Coturnix japonica: one gene and its partner. The protein of the gene in region 2 purifies or fractionates together with the protein of the main gene of each other region. This does not show direct contact. Links are inferred from orthologs where the notes say so. Each region holds a gene or a part of one and is shown on either strand. Other genes may lie near its edges.

Region 1 (8,126 bases), on a different chromosome or scaffold from region 2:
AGACTAGCTAATATTCTACTAAATCTCAAACATCTAATCAGAGATCTCAAGCAGCTGCTGGTCCTTGACATTGCTTGCAACAGAAAGAAATAAAGAAGTTAAAGCTGAGACTGACTGTGCAGGCCAAGCACGATGTCCTTACAGAGTATTATTTGCTCTGGACTTTCAGCAGGAGTAAGTTCAGAGACTAGCGCTGTGTAACACGAAACATTTGATACGATATTAAAGCAAGATGTCCTGTCTACACAGCAAAGCAAAATAATAAAAAGTACTACAAAAAGAGGGGAAAAAAAAAAAAGAAGTCAGGCTGCCAAAATGAACATAAATATTAAACAGATCTTTTAAGGACACAAACATACCCAAGGAGCTGTTCGTCATCGCGCTGGTATGCGTGGCTGCTGGACAGAAGAATGACTCTGGCACATTTGCTGCTTTCCACCCAAGAAAGCAGTGTTTGACAGAATGGCTTGTATTTGTCCTTCATGCAGGGACAGAGAATGAAATAGAAATGTTTTGTGTTGATAAAAAAACACCCAAAGCCAACAATATGAGATGTCGTATTTAACGTTCAGCTTTTTATATGTTTTTCTTCACATCCCTTAAGCTCACAGGTTCACATTTACTTTCAAAAAGCGGAAGACTGGCAATTTACCTCATTAAAGCTACACACATAATGATTACACTCATTAAAAGCACACAAATAACAACAGCTTTGTGTGCCGTAAGTACTAGTGGAAACAGCTTTAGAACGGGATGGGATAATGTGTAGATCACACCATATTCTTCCAATTTTTGCCAAAAAGCAATAGCAGAAATTAAGCCATCACAATACAAGATACAAACACGAGGACAAGAGCTGTATGAAGAAAAGAGAGATGGACAAAACTCAGAACATTCTGTGTTCTGTTTGAGACTATTAATAACTAAGGACATGTTAACAATACAGCTGAGTTGTTTTGGGGTTTGGAAGAACAAAACTAAACCTCAGCCCTCAGCGAGAGCAGAAATCAGCTCTGAGACAAAACTGTATCCGACACAGAAAGCGTTACAGCACTGAGCAGAAAAATATCTTGCGAGACTTTGGTCTGGTTTAAGAAAACGTTTCCTAACCTGGCACAGTTCTTCTCATTGTACTTCTTTGCTTTGTTTGAATCATTCTGTAAAACTGACCCAGGGTGCCTGAACCATCTGCACACAGAACTGCAACTACTGACGAGTGAGCTCAGAACGGATGCACGTACCTTTATAAAAGGTGATCTGATCTGCAGAACTACAAGCTTCTTCGAAGGCAATGAATACACTAAAAGGAGAAATAATAAAGCTTTTTAACAAGAAAGAAATCTGGGCTTTACAAACCTGAGGATAACCTGAGAGTTATCAAATCCAATTGCTGGAAAACCTGATTGCTGTTAAAAATAGCTCTTTATTTTTGTGCAATGTCTTCACTGGACTTAATTTCACTTTAATTTAATTAATTAAAAAATTTAAAAAATCTTAATTTCACACAGATTCAAAGGAGTGAATGAAGCAGAACATAAGATCTGCCCCCTTATGATGATTCAGGAAATTCTTCTGTGCAGCTTTACGAAGTTTATGAAAGATTATTTTGAAATTTCTATGATTTAAGAGCATAAAATAGAAGAGGAATTAAAAAAAGAAAGAAACGCCATAACTGAGGTGGAGCAAAACCCAGTGAATTTAAGGGGGAGGAACAGCACAAGGGGGAAAAGACAAACACAGGAGGGAAGTGAGAAATCCCCTTCTACACCAGAACGCAGCTTGCATTCCTGCACCTAAACTATGAGCACACTTCATGTTGCTTAGGATTAAAATTGTTGGGAGTTTTGGCTGCACTGTAACACGATTGTGAGCCAGCCAGCATTACTGGTTGCATATGTCAGACTGGTTATCAAAAATAAAGTAAGGCCTACTAACGGTTTCCTCTGCAAGTACAAACACATTCTTATTTCTAAGAGACTTAGTTACTGAAACTGTTACTAAGGACTTTAGTTTAAGCACAGTCCCCATAAGCAAAATATAACAACAAAAAAAGTAAATGCAACCTTTTTTGCTCTGTATGCTTCTTGCAAACACCACAAGCATTTAGTACACACCTTCAGCGTTTATGCTCAGCTCCATTGAGTTCTCCTTTGTTGTTGCATAAGGATTATTCCCCACCATCGGCACCAGGCAGTCGGTGTAGAAGTAGCCCACTTTAGGCATGCGAAGTGTGGAGATCACCAGATCTACTGCCAGCTGGCCAACGTTTCCTACCGACACTGCTGGCTGAAGCAACAGAAGTCAATGGATTACAATGTGCTTTATAGACAAAATGCTCTCCAAACAGTGAAGGTACAAGACATTTCATTTCTGACTAAATGTGATTTCTTTAATTGACAGCTCATTTTCAGACAAAGATGACCATCCCTTAGGTTGGTCACCCAGAATCACACTGGTCACTTCTGTGAATAACCCTGTCTCTCGCTGTAAACTTGAACAAAGGTTTTGAAACTTTTTTTCCCCCCATATATATATATATATATATATACATATATATATATATATTTTTTTTTTTGGGGGGGGGGGGGGGGGGGGGGGGGGGGGGGGAGGGAGTGGGGAGCATAGAATTGGCAAGTCGCTCTAGAACGCAGAGATTGACAGACCTCAAGTGACACCTAATGGTAACGTTGATATTACACACTCAACTACAAGTCTCAGCTTGAGCAATAGGTAAGAATGAGGCGTCTTCCAGCGCCCTGGTTTCGGCTGGGATAGATTTAATCTCCCAGCAGCTGGTGTAGCAGCGTGTTTTGCATTTCAGGTGAGCCCAGCGCTGTTACCACACTGCTCTTTTGGCTGCTACAAAGCAGCGCTTACAAAACTAAGGCCACTTTGGCTCCTTGTGTTGCCCTGCCAGCGAAGTGCTGGGGGGCCAAGGAGCTGGGAGGGGGAGGAATCAGGGCAGCAGACCCAGCCTGGCCCAGGGGACATCCCATGCCATAGAATCACAGAATGACCCGGGTTGGAAGGGACCTCAAGGATCATGTAGTTCCAACCCCCTGCCTGGCAGGGATGCCATGTGGTGAAGTGCTCAGCAACACAACTGGGGGAGCTGGCTGGGGGCTGCTATTGCCTGGGCATCGCTTAGAGGGTGGTGAGCAATTGCAGCGTGCTTCATTTATTTACGTTCTTCTCTCATTATTATTTCCCCTTTTCTGCCCTACTGTCAAACTATCCCAGCCCACATGTTTTACTTCCCTTCCGATTCTCTCCCTCACCCCCTGAAGGTGTATGTAAGCCACGAGCCGCAGGGATGGGACACGGAGGATGGTTTTAAGCTAAAATGGGAGAGATTCCGGTAATAGGAGGAATCTCCTCACTCAGAGGGCGGGGAGGCGCTCTGAAGAGAGCTGCGGGTGCCCTATCCATGAAGGCGCTCAGGCTGCAGCCCCCCCGACCTCCGCCCCCCGACAACCACTCACCATGAGCAGCGTGAAACCCTCGAAATCGGGGCTGCCGCCATCGCAAGGCACGAACATGCCGGCAAGGCCTGACGGAGACATGGATGCCACAAGGCAACGCGCAGCTCCGCCCGCTTCCCGTCCCCCTCACGCCGCGGCCGTTGGGGCGGAGCTCCTCCCGCCGCCATGGCGCTGCCGCCGGGTAAAGGGTCGGAGCTGAAGCAGCTCATCCAGCAGCAGCTGCTAAAGGTGAGCTGAGACACACGGTGTTTTGCATCCTTGATCGTGTGGTGCCGAGGGGGGGAGGAAATGGGCATTGTCTGCTTTTGTGCCTTAGAGAACTAAGAAGCGGCCATCCGAAGTTTTTAGTTCTTTGTCCCCCTCAGAAGTCAGACGGGAAGCTGTTGGGTTTGCAGGTTTAAGGCGCAGAGCAGTGAATGCGTTCAGGCTCGTTGTGCTCATAACGTTTTTAATTGGTAGAGCTGCTTTAGGGAGGCAGTATGACTTCTTCAGCTGGCTCTTATTTAATCCAAGAACTCATGGGCTCTATGTGCAGAAAGTACTGGCAGTCCTACAGGATGCTTCTTTAGTTGTAACTGCTGTCAGGAACTTCTATCTGCAGCTTGTAAGAAGTTCTCTTTCAGATGGATGTCCATGGAAGGATCCGAGAAGTTCTGGCCGAGACGATACGTGAGGAGCTGGCGCCTGAGCATCGGCAGTTATCCACGGAGGATCTGATAAAAGCCTTAAGACAGCGAGGAATCATCGATGATGTTATGAAAGAACTTAAATTTGTCACTGTGAGAACCTCTTCAAGTGTGAAGATACTTTGCTTATTCCTCTTAACTGATGTGGTGTCTTGTCCAAGTTCTAACACACTAAAAGCATAGAATCACAGAATAGCTTAGGTTGGAGAGGACTAACCCCCTGCTATGAGCAGGGCTGCCCTCCACCAGCTCAGCTGCCCAGGGCCCCATCCAACCTGGCCTTGAGTGCCTCCAGGGCCTCCAGCTTCTCTGGGCAGCTGTGCCAGCGCCTCACTGCCCTCTGAAATAAATTCTTCCTTCTATCTCATCTGAATCCATCATATTTCAGTTTAAAGCCATTGCCCCTTGTCATAACTCTATGCTCGCTGACGAAGAGTCCTTCACCTATTTTCCTGTAGACTCCCTTTATGTACAGGAAGGTACTATTTCTAGTAGTTCAAAAAGGCTTTAGTGACTTGTGATGTTTTAGGACAAAACAGTGTGTGCTGTATTTGGTGTAGTGATAATACCACAGTGTCAGCGTTTGCTCAGTTTTTGTTAAGTCTCACCTATTAGCAGAGGTTGTACAAGAGGAATAACATTTGATTGGGAAGGAGAATGCTTTAAATTATAGAAGGTTGAGGGAAGGCTGCTGCTGCCTCAATTAACACCTTAAAAATTCTTTATTGTGATTCCAGGATGTGAGTGGAAAGGAGAGGGCTTCATCTCCAAAACCATCAACACATTTTGTTGATAGAGAGCCACCGGTTATGAAAAAAAGTATGTTGCTCATTTGTTCTCATATTTCTGGGTTGTAGTTTTGATAGAAATGTCAAATGTAGGATTATTGATCTTGGAATTAATAATACAACATGAACTGGATTCGTTTAAAGCCTCCAAAGAGGAGAAAAATATGTCTTGCTTATCTAAAGGATGTAAGTTTGACTGATACAGATTCAAGTTTTATGTGACGTTCATGTTTCATTTATTTTACGTTAAAATAGCATCCATGTATTTTAGAATCACTTTCTCCTAGGGACTTATATACAAAAACTTTATTATTTCTTTTTATTTCTCTTCTCCTGTTGGTTAGCTGATGTTTAACATGCTTCCTGAGATCTGTTTGTAGTCTCTTCATTTTTGTTGCTACGCTTTACAGCTAACATTGACCCAACACGAAGGTATCTTTACCTTCAGGTTCTGGGTGGAAAAGCTTTTCTGGAACATCTTCAGGAACCGGATCCTCTGCCTGGCCAAATCTGTTCTACTTTTACACTATGTCTTCATTTCCGAAATCAGCGTTTCCGTTCTAAACCCGTTCCCTGTGCTTGTGAGCCAGATTTCCATGATGGTTTTTTACTTGAAGTTCACAAGGAAAGCCTAGGTAAGGAACATCATGACTTTAAAGCTGATGCTATGTTGTTTCTTTTCATAGAATTACCCAGGTTGGAAAAGACCTTGAAGATCATCAAGTCCAACCACAGCCTAACCAGAACCCTAACTCTAAAAACCCTACACTAAATCATTTTGCTTTGTTTCACTGGATTTCTTTTTGACTTTATAGTTATTCCAAAACAGGTCTGAAATTATGTAGTGTGTTTCTTTCCTATTTATTACTAAAATTTTTTGTAGGGAAATTGATGACTATTAGATTTCACTTCTAGATCCTTCTCTATTCTTACCTTGTCTTTTCTACTCTGAAGTTACTGCCATGGTCCTGGGCTTTGGGTGTTCCTTCTTGAGCAGGGGTTAGGCCAGCTGACCTCCATAGGTCCCTTCCAACCTTGAGCATTCTCGTGAAGGTGGATAGCAATTTGTCACCATGCAGAAGGAAAAACTTTACTTTGAGCTCAGTTTGCTATGAGTTGTTCGATGACTGACTTCCACGGTTATCTGTCGCCTCTATTGCCTTTCTGCCGTTGGTAGCCAGGAAATGTGGTGGCAGATGAATGTTATGAGAAGAATTCTGGAATCAATAGTGGTGTATAATAAATAGACCTGAAGCATTCCATGTTTTCAAGAGTGCAGTTATTTACCTAAAAAGTAGTATTATTTTAAGGAGGACTTGGGGTGATATTCTGGCTATTTAATGTTGCTTTATTTCTGGCAGGTGATGGAAGTAAAATGGTGGATGCAACAACTATGTTATCTGTATGTGATCCAGTGCATATGGTTCTGATCAAAACAGACACGTTTGGTGAGACAACGCTGGTAGCGTCCTATTTCTTGGAGTGGCGATCTGTCCTGGCTGCAGAGAATGGCATCACAAATGTTGCTGTTGAACTCCTGGGTGTAGGTAAGAATAACTAATGAGCATTTAACGATGAGTTAAAGTATTGCGTACTAAGTTTGATTAGAAGCTTAAAGTAGTATTTATGGTTTGGTTTGATTTCAGTTCAGCTAATCAACTCATGAATTACTTTAAGGTATCAACTCATGAATTACTTTAAGGTATCCTTAAGAAGAGTTTATATAAAGGACTAATGGTCAGATTTTTGTCTTATCAAAGTGTTAAGAATGTGTGTTCCAGATCCTGTGCAATAGTGGTCCCTGTACCTGGGAGCCTCTGTTATCTCCAGGATGTGGGTAAACTATCAAAACAAACATAAATCAACAAATGCGTCTCCAGGAAAAATACCGTGTCAGTGTTCTCAAGTGTAAAATCTAGCTTGTCCTGTGTAGCAGTTATGATCCTGCTCTAACCACAGTGATCTGAGCAGTGAGTTGTACATTCAGTAACAATGGGCACTTGTACACTGTGGCTCTTCCAGTCTATTTGTAGGTGCCTATTCTAGCCCTTACAGAACAGCATTCATCTTGTATGTTCTGGTATCACCTGGAAAGAGGCCCTTAGGGCTCAGATCCAGTTACCAGCTTCTTTAGCCAGGTTATCATTCCTTTCATTCTTGAGTAGAATATTTCAGTGAAGATCTTTGTGTTGTATGTACTTAGAGAAGTTTATGGGGTTTTATTTTTATGATGGTATGATTAAAACTATTATTTGTTCTGTGTCAAATGAATTTGAAAGGACTGATAGGAATGTATTTTGGTTCAAAGGTACAGAATCAAAGGTTTCTGTCGGTGTTTTGAACATCAGACTTGAAATGTATCCACCACTTACTAAGACTCTGTCTCCAGAAATAACAAGCACTCAGGTAAGTAATATGTAGGGGGTGAGGGATGGCCTGTTCTTTTATCAGCAGGGGGGATGCACACTGTACAGTTATTTATGTAGATAAAGGGTCGGTTACTCTACTTGAAAAGCCAGTAAATGGTGGCCCAAAGGTGTTACAGATATTATTCCACACTTAGCAAGGTGAGTAGTCCTTCTATACAGATATGCGTCACTGAAGATGAACACTACTTCAGTCAAGCTTGATATATCAGCCTACAAACAAGAAATGTAAATTGAGTTTTACATTCATTGGATTTTCACTTTAAAATACTATTCTTTAGCATTGGTTGCATGCTGTCATATTAAACTTCATTTTTCATATGCAAGGATCATGTGCTAGTATGTATATTGATTACTTTTTGTTCTTGTTTGGAATTATTATATGTGTGAATGGTTGTGTGTATTTTCCTACCTGTAGTTTACTTTGGAACGTCAGAAGACAGCAGAAAAAGAACGTTTATTTCTTGTGTATGCTAAACAGTGGTGGAGAGAATACCTGCAGATCAGGCCTACACACAACTCAAGGCTGGTAAAGATTTTTGCACAGGTTTGTATATTTTACAAATACACCAATCTGTTCTTCAAGGTGTTTTTTTTAGTCTTAGCTGCATGTTTGAAGTTTGTGTATGTAGAATTTGTATAGATTTATGATGTGGTTAGATTCCATTCAGGGCTACATGTGATACAGTATGCTGACAATGAAGTTTTCAAGACTTGAACTATGTATACTGAAGCTGAAGAGTA
Region 2 (8,002 bases):
TCAAAATCTATGTGTGCAAGTACACACACGGTCATTACGCTTGTTTAAGAGCTCTCTACAAAATAACAAAAGCAAACAAACAAACAAAATCAAGCACATTAACTTAGGCTGCAGTCAGGAAGTCAACCTCGCATTCAGAAATGGAGAGAATTCCAGTTCTTACATTTTATACAATAGTACTTATGTACTGGGAGAAAAAATACCCACCTACAGCATGAAAAAAAATCACTTGTTTAATATTAAAGTTGCTCTACAAAAATCTCATCCATAAAGCATCTCAAAGAAAGTGCTTCTGAAGCGTTTGATGCTGCCAACGTAGATCCCTAGAGATGAGTCATAAATAATCAAAACCACATAGCTTAGCAGTCTTACTCTCAAAGATCCTCTGCTCCTCACCTGCTAAAACACCAATTTTCCATTTGTGCTTGATGAGGAATAGAAGTTAAAACAGGCAAGAGAGAACTCTGCTCAGAGGGAGCAATGCTGTTTGTACAAAGTCAACAGCAGGAAAGAAGCAATCTGAATATTTAATTCATTTCTACTCAAAATTAGGTGAGCCAATGGGAAAAAAAACAACACATTTTGAATTTTATTGAACAGGTGAGAGGTGACCCATGACTGCAGCACCATCATTACCAGCACAACAGGGCAGCTGCTACAGTCAATACTGCAGAGCAAAATATACCACATTTAATCTGTATCTGACCCTCAGTTTAATTTTAGCAGTCAGTTTTTACCAATGCTTGTAGAGTTTGCATTATGGATTGTCTCCAGCTGAGATTGCACACTTTCTACTAAGCCGCTTTCACTTTTTCTCCACTCCAACTCCATCCTACTGTTAATATTCACTTTGGATATTTCTATTTCTGTTGTAGCGATCTTCTTTCCCTTCCTCTCCTGTTCCTCCAGTTCCTATGAAAGAAAAAATCAGCTGTAAGACTTGTTTTCTGTCTGCAACACAACAAAATGTATATTTCAAAACCATCTGCATCCTGACAAACACACAGGACTTCAGCTCAGACTTTCTCCTCTTTCTGCTTTACCTTCTGCAGTTTCTCCTGCTCCCGCTCTTGTTCTGCTATCAGAATTGACAGCTGTTGTGCATGCTGTTCTTCGAGTCTCTTCCTCATTTCCTCAAAGGCCAACATTTTAGTCTTTAAAATCTCTTCTGAGAAGACACATGCATTACAAAGAATGAAGCATTAAATATTTTCTATGTGATCTTTTGTCACAGATATATTTGCTTCAAAAGAGAAATTTCCATCTTCAATAAAAAGCACATTTTTTATATCAAGTTGCCATTATGCATCGCAAAGAAGCCTTTCAGTTACAACAGTCCTTCAGAATATTTGCACGTTCCTCTTTGTGGGATTAGTATGTGGATGGAACAGCAGTAACACCAATGGAGACTGTATTAGAATAAGGATGTAAAACATCTGGATCTGGGAACACAATACCCACACTTGCTGAGTAAACTAAAATTATTAATGTCACTTTGGTTTAACTTGATAAGACACAAATGTAACACAGTCTTGAAATGACAAAAGCACCTATATAGTCATTTGCAACCTTGCTGCTGAAAGGTGTTCTCTTTTAATTCATTTTAGTAGTCTTACTTAAATCTAAGAGAACAAGAAATTATATTAGTAAAACTAAGTTCAAACTTCTACATTCAAATGAGAACGTGTTGGGTTTTTGTTTTTGCCTAAAGTGATATCCCTGAGAATAAACAGAGAATCCACAAAACTGAGAAACGTTTCATCTGATGCTTCTTCATAAAGTATTTAATGAAGGATTTGTTACAGAGGGCTGTAAGACTTCTTTCCATGAGTGAATTGTAAACGAGCAACTAGCCCGTTGTGCAGCCATTAAGCACAGCTCAGGTAGCAGCTGAAATTCAGAATTGGTCATTAATTAAAAATTAGATGAGATTACTGAAAAAAAGAGAACTGCCAGAATAACACTTCTGCCTTTTGATAGATATGTACTTAGAATCACCAACAATTATAATTTTTAATCTTACAATAAATTATAATATTAAAAGCTGCATTAATTTTAATAAGATTGATTAGAATATTTAAAAAATCATTTTTCCCTAGAAGATTCTCTAAACCGAGAAGTTTAGAAAACAAACACTGGAAATCTTTTACCTTTTGCCATATTTGAATCAGGGGCTGCATTCTTGGTAATGTAAACTGATGCCATGGGACATTTCTGCTCTTGCAGCCATTGCTTCTCCTGTTCCTCCATTCCAACAGTTACAGCGCAGGGGTTGCTGTCTTTCTGGCAGTTGTCAGTGTCCAAATCAAGTCTACGTTTTACCTTTTCAAAGCTGTTCTCTAGAATCTGTTCGTTTGCTGGGGGAACACTTGGATCCATCTGCTGGCGCATACTCTTGCTCTGCATCAGTAGTGGGGACGGGCTTTCTACATCATAAGATTTATTGAGTTCTACTGGAGATTTAGTATTTTCTTGCAAACTGGATGCTTTGGTCTCATTCACAGTTAGGAGCTTCTGTGTTACTGTAGACTGATGGGTGGAGAATGGCTCAATCGGTTTTGGACCCACGGTACCAGTCTCTACTTTATACGGTCCTCTGTTGTCCATCACTACCTGCCCTTCCACTGCAGCAGACAATGCCCCTTTGCATTCTGAGTGCCCAAAGGAATGTCTGTTTGGTTTGCCAGCCAGCAGCCCATCAGAAGGACCTGAAGAACTCCTGATGACACCAGGAACTCTGCTGGGGCAAAGCATACTAAAGTCCATCATGAACTTCGGCACTGACTCAGATATGTTATTCTTATCAGCAATATCTTGCATAATTAAATCCATTGCTCTACCCTTGCCTTTGGGACTTAATTCATAAGCATTCACAGGGTTGTTTATAACTATGTGTCCCATCGATAAAGGCCTTGGGCGCCTCCGGTGCATTTTTGGACTCATGCTTAGCTCCGGGCTCGGCAGTTTGCTGTACGACCCCGTGAGGCTCCTGACAATGCTGCTGTCGCGATCAAAGGCGGAAGGATTTTTCAATTCTTCATCTGAATCCGAATCCACCAACGGGGGTGTCCCAACTCTCATAGGTATATCCACTTTGGAAAAACTGGATAAAGTTGACATACTTGTGTTACTTGTATGAGTAGAGGCACCTTGAATATGAGTATTTGATTTAAGATACGGTTTATCAAGTGGCAGAGCAGTGGAACTTCTGCCTGTAACCTTTGCTCTCTCTTTCACAGAGTCCGATGTTTTAACTGCATCATTTTCTTTATCTGAATGGCTTTCATTCATACTCTTCCTTGAACTGCTTTTAGAGCTACGCCTGCTTTGCTCTTTCTCTACATACTCCCTAGACTTTTTAATCAGGTTCTGAAGGCTCACTGCATATGGATCTTGGGCTTCCTTCTCAGATGACGGCACTCCTTGTCCCTCTTGCTTCTGCAAAGCAGGGGACACAAGTTTACTCTGCACAACGTCAGGAGACGCAGCCCTTGGACAAGGAACATCTCTTGAGAAGTGACTCTCACTTTCCTTTGAAGGAACATTTTCTTCCGCTGGTTTACCTACTTCTGTTGCATTTGATGTCACTCGCTGCACAGAGTCCGATGGCAAAAGCTCTTGGCTTTTTTCAGTCTGCACAGGACAATGCCTTTCAGAACGTGGCAAGCTGGCATCTGACAGAGCTGTGAGATCAGTCAAAGCTTTTGAGTCTGCATCAGGGCAGGTATTCCCAGCATCCTGAACGTTCACGTCACTTGTACCAGATACTTTCCTGTTCTGCAAGTAGAAGTTGAAAAATATCACGTAGCTTGGATGAAATCTGTGATTTCCAGATTACTGCAAGTTTTACCTGTACGTAAATGAGCACTGCCTTAACCTTAAGTGAATGCTGGTTCTTGTAAGTTAACTGCTATTCATTTCAGATTTGTATTAGTGAATACCTAAACCCCAGCCCTTTCTCAAAACACACACAAGGAGACGTTTCCTTTAAAGCTGTAAGAGTTAGTCCAAATCCTACCTGAATGTTTTCTAGAATCTCCTGAACACGATTCATTAAGGCTCTTTTGTGGGAGCTCTGTCTCCATGTCTCTAGATCCAGCGCTTTCTGTCGATACTGCTGTATTTCCTTTCTCTTTTCAAAGTTCAGCTGCAGAACAGAGTGTGAGAGACAAAGTTTATACCACTAAATGCAAGTTACATTATAGAACTACAGAAATAAAAACAAAAAGGAACAAAACCCACCAACGTTGAAACTTGGTGTGCACTTAAATAGACAGATTCTTTCTAAACAAATTCCTTTTTTTAAATTTTTTAAACAAACATACACATATCCTGTCATTGGAGACTGTTGTTAGGGACACTCTCCGTCCATACTTCCCAACACCGAAGCAAAGAAGCTGGTTGCTTTATGATACAGACCATCAACAGCTCACATGTTACTCAATGCTTGTAGTGTCGATGTGCTGTTGCACAAAGCTGAGCACAGCATTAACAGTCACCAATTTAACACTACAAATATTCTCACTCTCCTCACGCAGACAACAAATATCAAGAAATGAAAGCAAACACACACTGCAAAAATAAGAAATTTAAAGAATCACTCCTTTAGCTTATAAATTGAAAGGTAGGGATGCTCCAAATGCACTTAGCAGAGGCCAGAACACCTCAGATGGAGCTGTGCTCTCAATACAGTCAGTACACACAGACATCAAAGCCAATGACACAGTTAATGTTACAGGGGATTAAAAAGCACCTTACCAGAGGGGAGAGCACTGGAACTCCATGGAACTGAATGAGGGAGACGTTTCTGTCCAGCAGAGCGGGTGAGTTCTCTCCTTTTGTTGCCTCTTGGATTCTGGACAGATGCTGCTTGCAGAATGTTTCGTAGTCCTCCATTTTCACGCAGCTAAAACAGCACGGATAATAAACATACCCTATTGTGTTTCCAAGGCCACGAAAGAAAAACAACACGACCAATTCCACGCTGTATATGGGAAATAAACCCCACGTCAAATAGCTCAATTAACTGAGCTTTCTTCCTACCAACAGCAATAGCGGCAAAAGCCAGTTTTCTTATGAAGCGCAACAGAACAGGAGCACAATGACAGACACGCTGCCAGTCAGCGAGCTGAAGTAACCGAGAGCTGCCTCAACATCCACAGGGCTGACAGCCTCGTCCCCGCGAACCAACCTTTCCTTCCTTCCTTCCTTCCTTCCTACCCCTGTGTACGAACACAGACCAACACACCCACCAACACAACAAAACGCAGCCCGGTGTCGCCAGGAGCCCGAGGGGCGGCTCCAAGCACGGCAGCCCGCAGGCCCGGCCCGGCCCCGCTCCCCGCCCGGTTCGTGCCGCCTCCTCCCCAGCCCCGCGCCCGGCCCCAGCAGGACGGCAGGCCCGGTACCGCGCAGGGCGCTCGGCGCCGCCTGCAGCCCGGCAACCGCCCAGCCCCGGAACTACAGAACTATGGGACTACGGAACTACGGCCCCCAGCGGCACCGCGACACACAGACGAGCGCGGAAGGGGCGGGTCGGTGTGTGGAGCTCGGGCGGGGCTAAACCCAGTCTGTCCGTGACCGTGCGGGGTGTCGGGCAGCCGCGAGGGCGGACAGACGGGTCACAGCCCGGTAACGGCCCGGTCACAGCCCGGCGGCGCTGAACGGGACGGCAACACCGGCGCCCTCTCTCTGAGGCGCTGAGCGCCCTCGGTCCGGCGCAGTCGGTGCGTTGCCGCCATGTTGTGCGGCGGTGCCGCGCTGCTGTGCGCTGTGCCGGCGCTGCTGGTCGCTCTGTTGGCGCTGAGCCGCAGCCCGGTGCTGCTGGCCGTACTAACGGCGGCTCCGTTGGTGCTGCTGCACGTCCTCAGCCTGGAGCCCGCCCCCCCGCACAGCGCACGCCAAGTCCTGCGGCCCCGCGGCGGCCCCGCCCGCATCGCGCACCGCGGCGGAGCGCACGACGCCCCCGAGAACACGCTGGGGGCCGTCAGACAGGTGAGAGCGCCCAGCAGCGCTGTGAGCCGTTATCGGTTACTGAAAGCCATTACCTGTTACTGAAAGCCGTTATCTGTTGTGTGTGTGATGATCTTTTCCTTCTTTTAAGGCAGCTGAAAATGGAGCAACAGGTGTTGAACTGGATCTTGAATTTACCGCGGATGGCGTTCCCATTCTAATGCACGATGAGACAGTAGAAAGGACAACTGATGGGTCTGGAAGATTGTGTGACATGACTTTTGATGAGATTCGGAAGCTTAATCCATCTGCAAAACACAGGCTGTGGTAAATGAAACATGTAGCACAGACCCCTTGGCGGTACAAGCAGCATCTTCCCAGTCTGTCACTGCCACAGTGAGAACTAATGCAGCTGCAGTCACCCATCAGGATTAATGTCTTGCTGCGTGAAGCTGCTTCTCCTGCAGCTTCAGCTTGTCTTGCTTATTCTGTCAGGATCTGTGTTATCGGTGCTAGGAAACACCACTGAAGCAGGATGAAGTGGGAGGATAGATGGTCACATCTGGGATTGAATGCATGTTTATTGTTGTTAAAGGAGATGAAAAACTGAGGCCAGTCTTTCAGTGGGGTCAGTAAGCATTGAGTTAGAGCTTGAATTTGGAAGGACAGAGTTGTGTAGTTGTGGGATTCTGGGAAGAGAGATCCTTATATCTGTGCAGCATTTTACAGCATCAGAAAGCTGCTGCTGCCATTGCTGGTGGTGCTTAACCCCTAATGTTAGTGTCTCACTTGACTGTGTTTAGGAATCCCCAGGAAACAGCTCTGTGTAGTTGGGGATGTGTGTGTGTGCGGTGCATCTCAAAACCACATCACAAAGGACAGCTCTGTTTCTACAGGAGCAAATTCCAGAGCGAAAAGGTACCAACTTTGAGAGAAGCTGTAGTGGAGTCTTTGCAGCACAATCTTACAATCTACTTTGATGTCAAAGGCCACGCGAATCAGGTACCACTTACTGTCCTACAGCCCCTTCTTTGGGTTTTCAGCCTATTTTTGTTGGTCTCAAGCTGGTCTCTGTGGTAAAGTGCCTTCTCTAACATGAGTAAAAATGGGGCTGCTGTTTGCATCACCCAATGCTGGACTATCAGAAATAAAGACATTGTGTTCCCTCATCCCATTCCTTTGTCCTGGAAAATTTAAAATTCAACTGACTCGTGACTGTTGAGTTCAACTTGCATCACAACAAAGCAAAGCAAATTCCCTGTCTGTGCTGAGGGAACCCAGTATCTGTTCTTCCATTCCAGCTAGGGCTCCAGTCATCTCTAATTTGTGTTACTGAAGGGAGATACAGGTGAGCTATCATAAACATTTTATGCAAGTTAGCAAAATATGGAAATAAATTATTTCTTCCCTTTGAGTTAAGCCTTAGGTAGTTCTTAAGGGTAAGGTAAGGGTATTTCAAACATCAGAGCAATGAGTAGCATTCCTAAACAGAATCATAATCATGGAATGATAGAATGGCTGAGGTTGGAGAAGACCATAAAAGATCACAGAGTTCCACACCCTCTGCCATGGGCAGCATTGCCAGCCACCACATCAGACTTACTACACAAAACAGGAAGGTGTTTTTAAAGAATCAAAATGACTTTGCAGGGTGAAGTAAATCTTATGTGTGTTTGTAAATGTAACATCTGTGTGTATCTCTCACTGGCAGGCGGTTGATGCCCTAAAACAGCTCTACCTGGAATTTCCTCGTTTGTATAACAGCAGCATCGTCTGTTCTTTCATGCCAGATGTTGTTTATAAGGTGACGTTTCCTCCAAGTTTCTGTGACTTTTAAATTCTGCCTGGGAATTTCAGTAAGGATAAACAACTTCCAGTACTTTTGGGCTGCTGAAATTGCAGAAACATTAGAAACAAATGATGCTTAAATCCTAAGTCTACTGCATGATCTGATTAGGTCACACTGTGCTCATTAGGTGCAAGTATTCTGAATCTACAGTAATTCCCTCTGTACTGAAAATTATGGAGAAACAAGTATGCTAGCACACAG

What was found. The genes of interacting proteins can lie anywhere in the genome.
Region 1: the proteins of CCP110 (region 2) and CEP76 purify together in Homo sapiens (co-immunoprecipitation; 4 studies listed by BioGRID and IntAct, with this or other methods). This does not show direct contact. The link is inferred for Coturnix japonica from reciprocal best matches to the Homo sapiens genes CCP110 and CEP76.

What each region holds. Positions count from the first base shown.
Region 1 is NC_029517.1:87,447,759-87,455,884, forward strand, and holds the start of CEP76 (centrosomal protein of 76 kDa), read left to right. Parts: upstream 1-3,613; 5' UTR 3,614-3,647; coding exon 3,648-3,710; intron 3,711-4,105; coding exon 4,106-4,261; exon of another isoform or gene 4,262-4,277; intron 4,278-4,905; coding exon 4,906-4,987; intron 4,988-5,366; coding exon 5,367-5,591; intron 5,592-6,317; coding exon 6,318-6,503; intron 6,504-7,264; coding exon 7,265-7,362; intron 7,363-7,800; coding exon 7,801-7,929; intron 7,930-8,126. Other genes in the region: PSMG2 (proteasome assembly chaperone 2), read right to left, coding at 360-478, 1,242-1,300, 2,115-2,286, 3,483-3,563. UniProt on the Homo sapiens protein: Centrosomal protein involved in regulation of centriole duplication. Required to limit centriole duplication to once per cell cycle by preventing centriole reduplication.
Region 2 is NC_029529.1:8,221,503-8,229,504, reverse strand, and holds the start of CCP110 (centriolar coiled-coil protein of 110 kDa), read right to left. Parts: upstream 5,498-8,002; 5' UTR 5,409-5,497; intron 5,380-5,408; exon of another isoform or gene 5,253-5,379; intron 5,210-5,252; exon of another isoform or gene 5,192-5,209; intron 4,907-5,191; 5' UTR 4,897-4,906; coding exon 4,759-4,896; intron 4,148-4,758; coding exon 4,019-4,147; intron 3,778-4,018; coding exon 2,151-3,777; intron 1,169-2,150; coding exon 1,044-1,168; intron 913-1,043; coding exon 738-912; intron 1-737. Other genes in the region: GDE1 (glycerophosphodiester phosphodiesterase 1), read left to right, coding at 5,740-5,994, 6,104-6,279, 6,849-6,954, 7,664-7,756.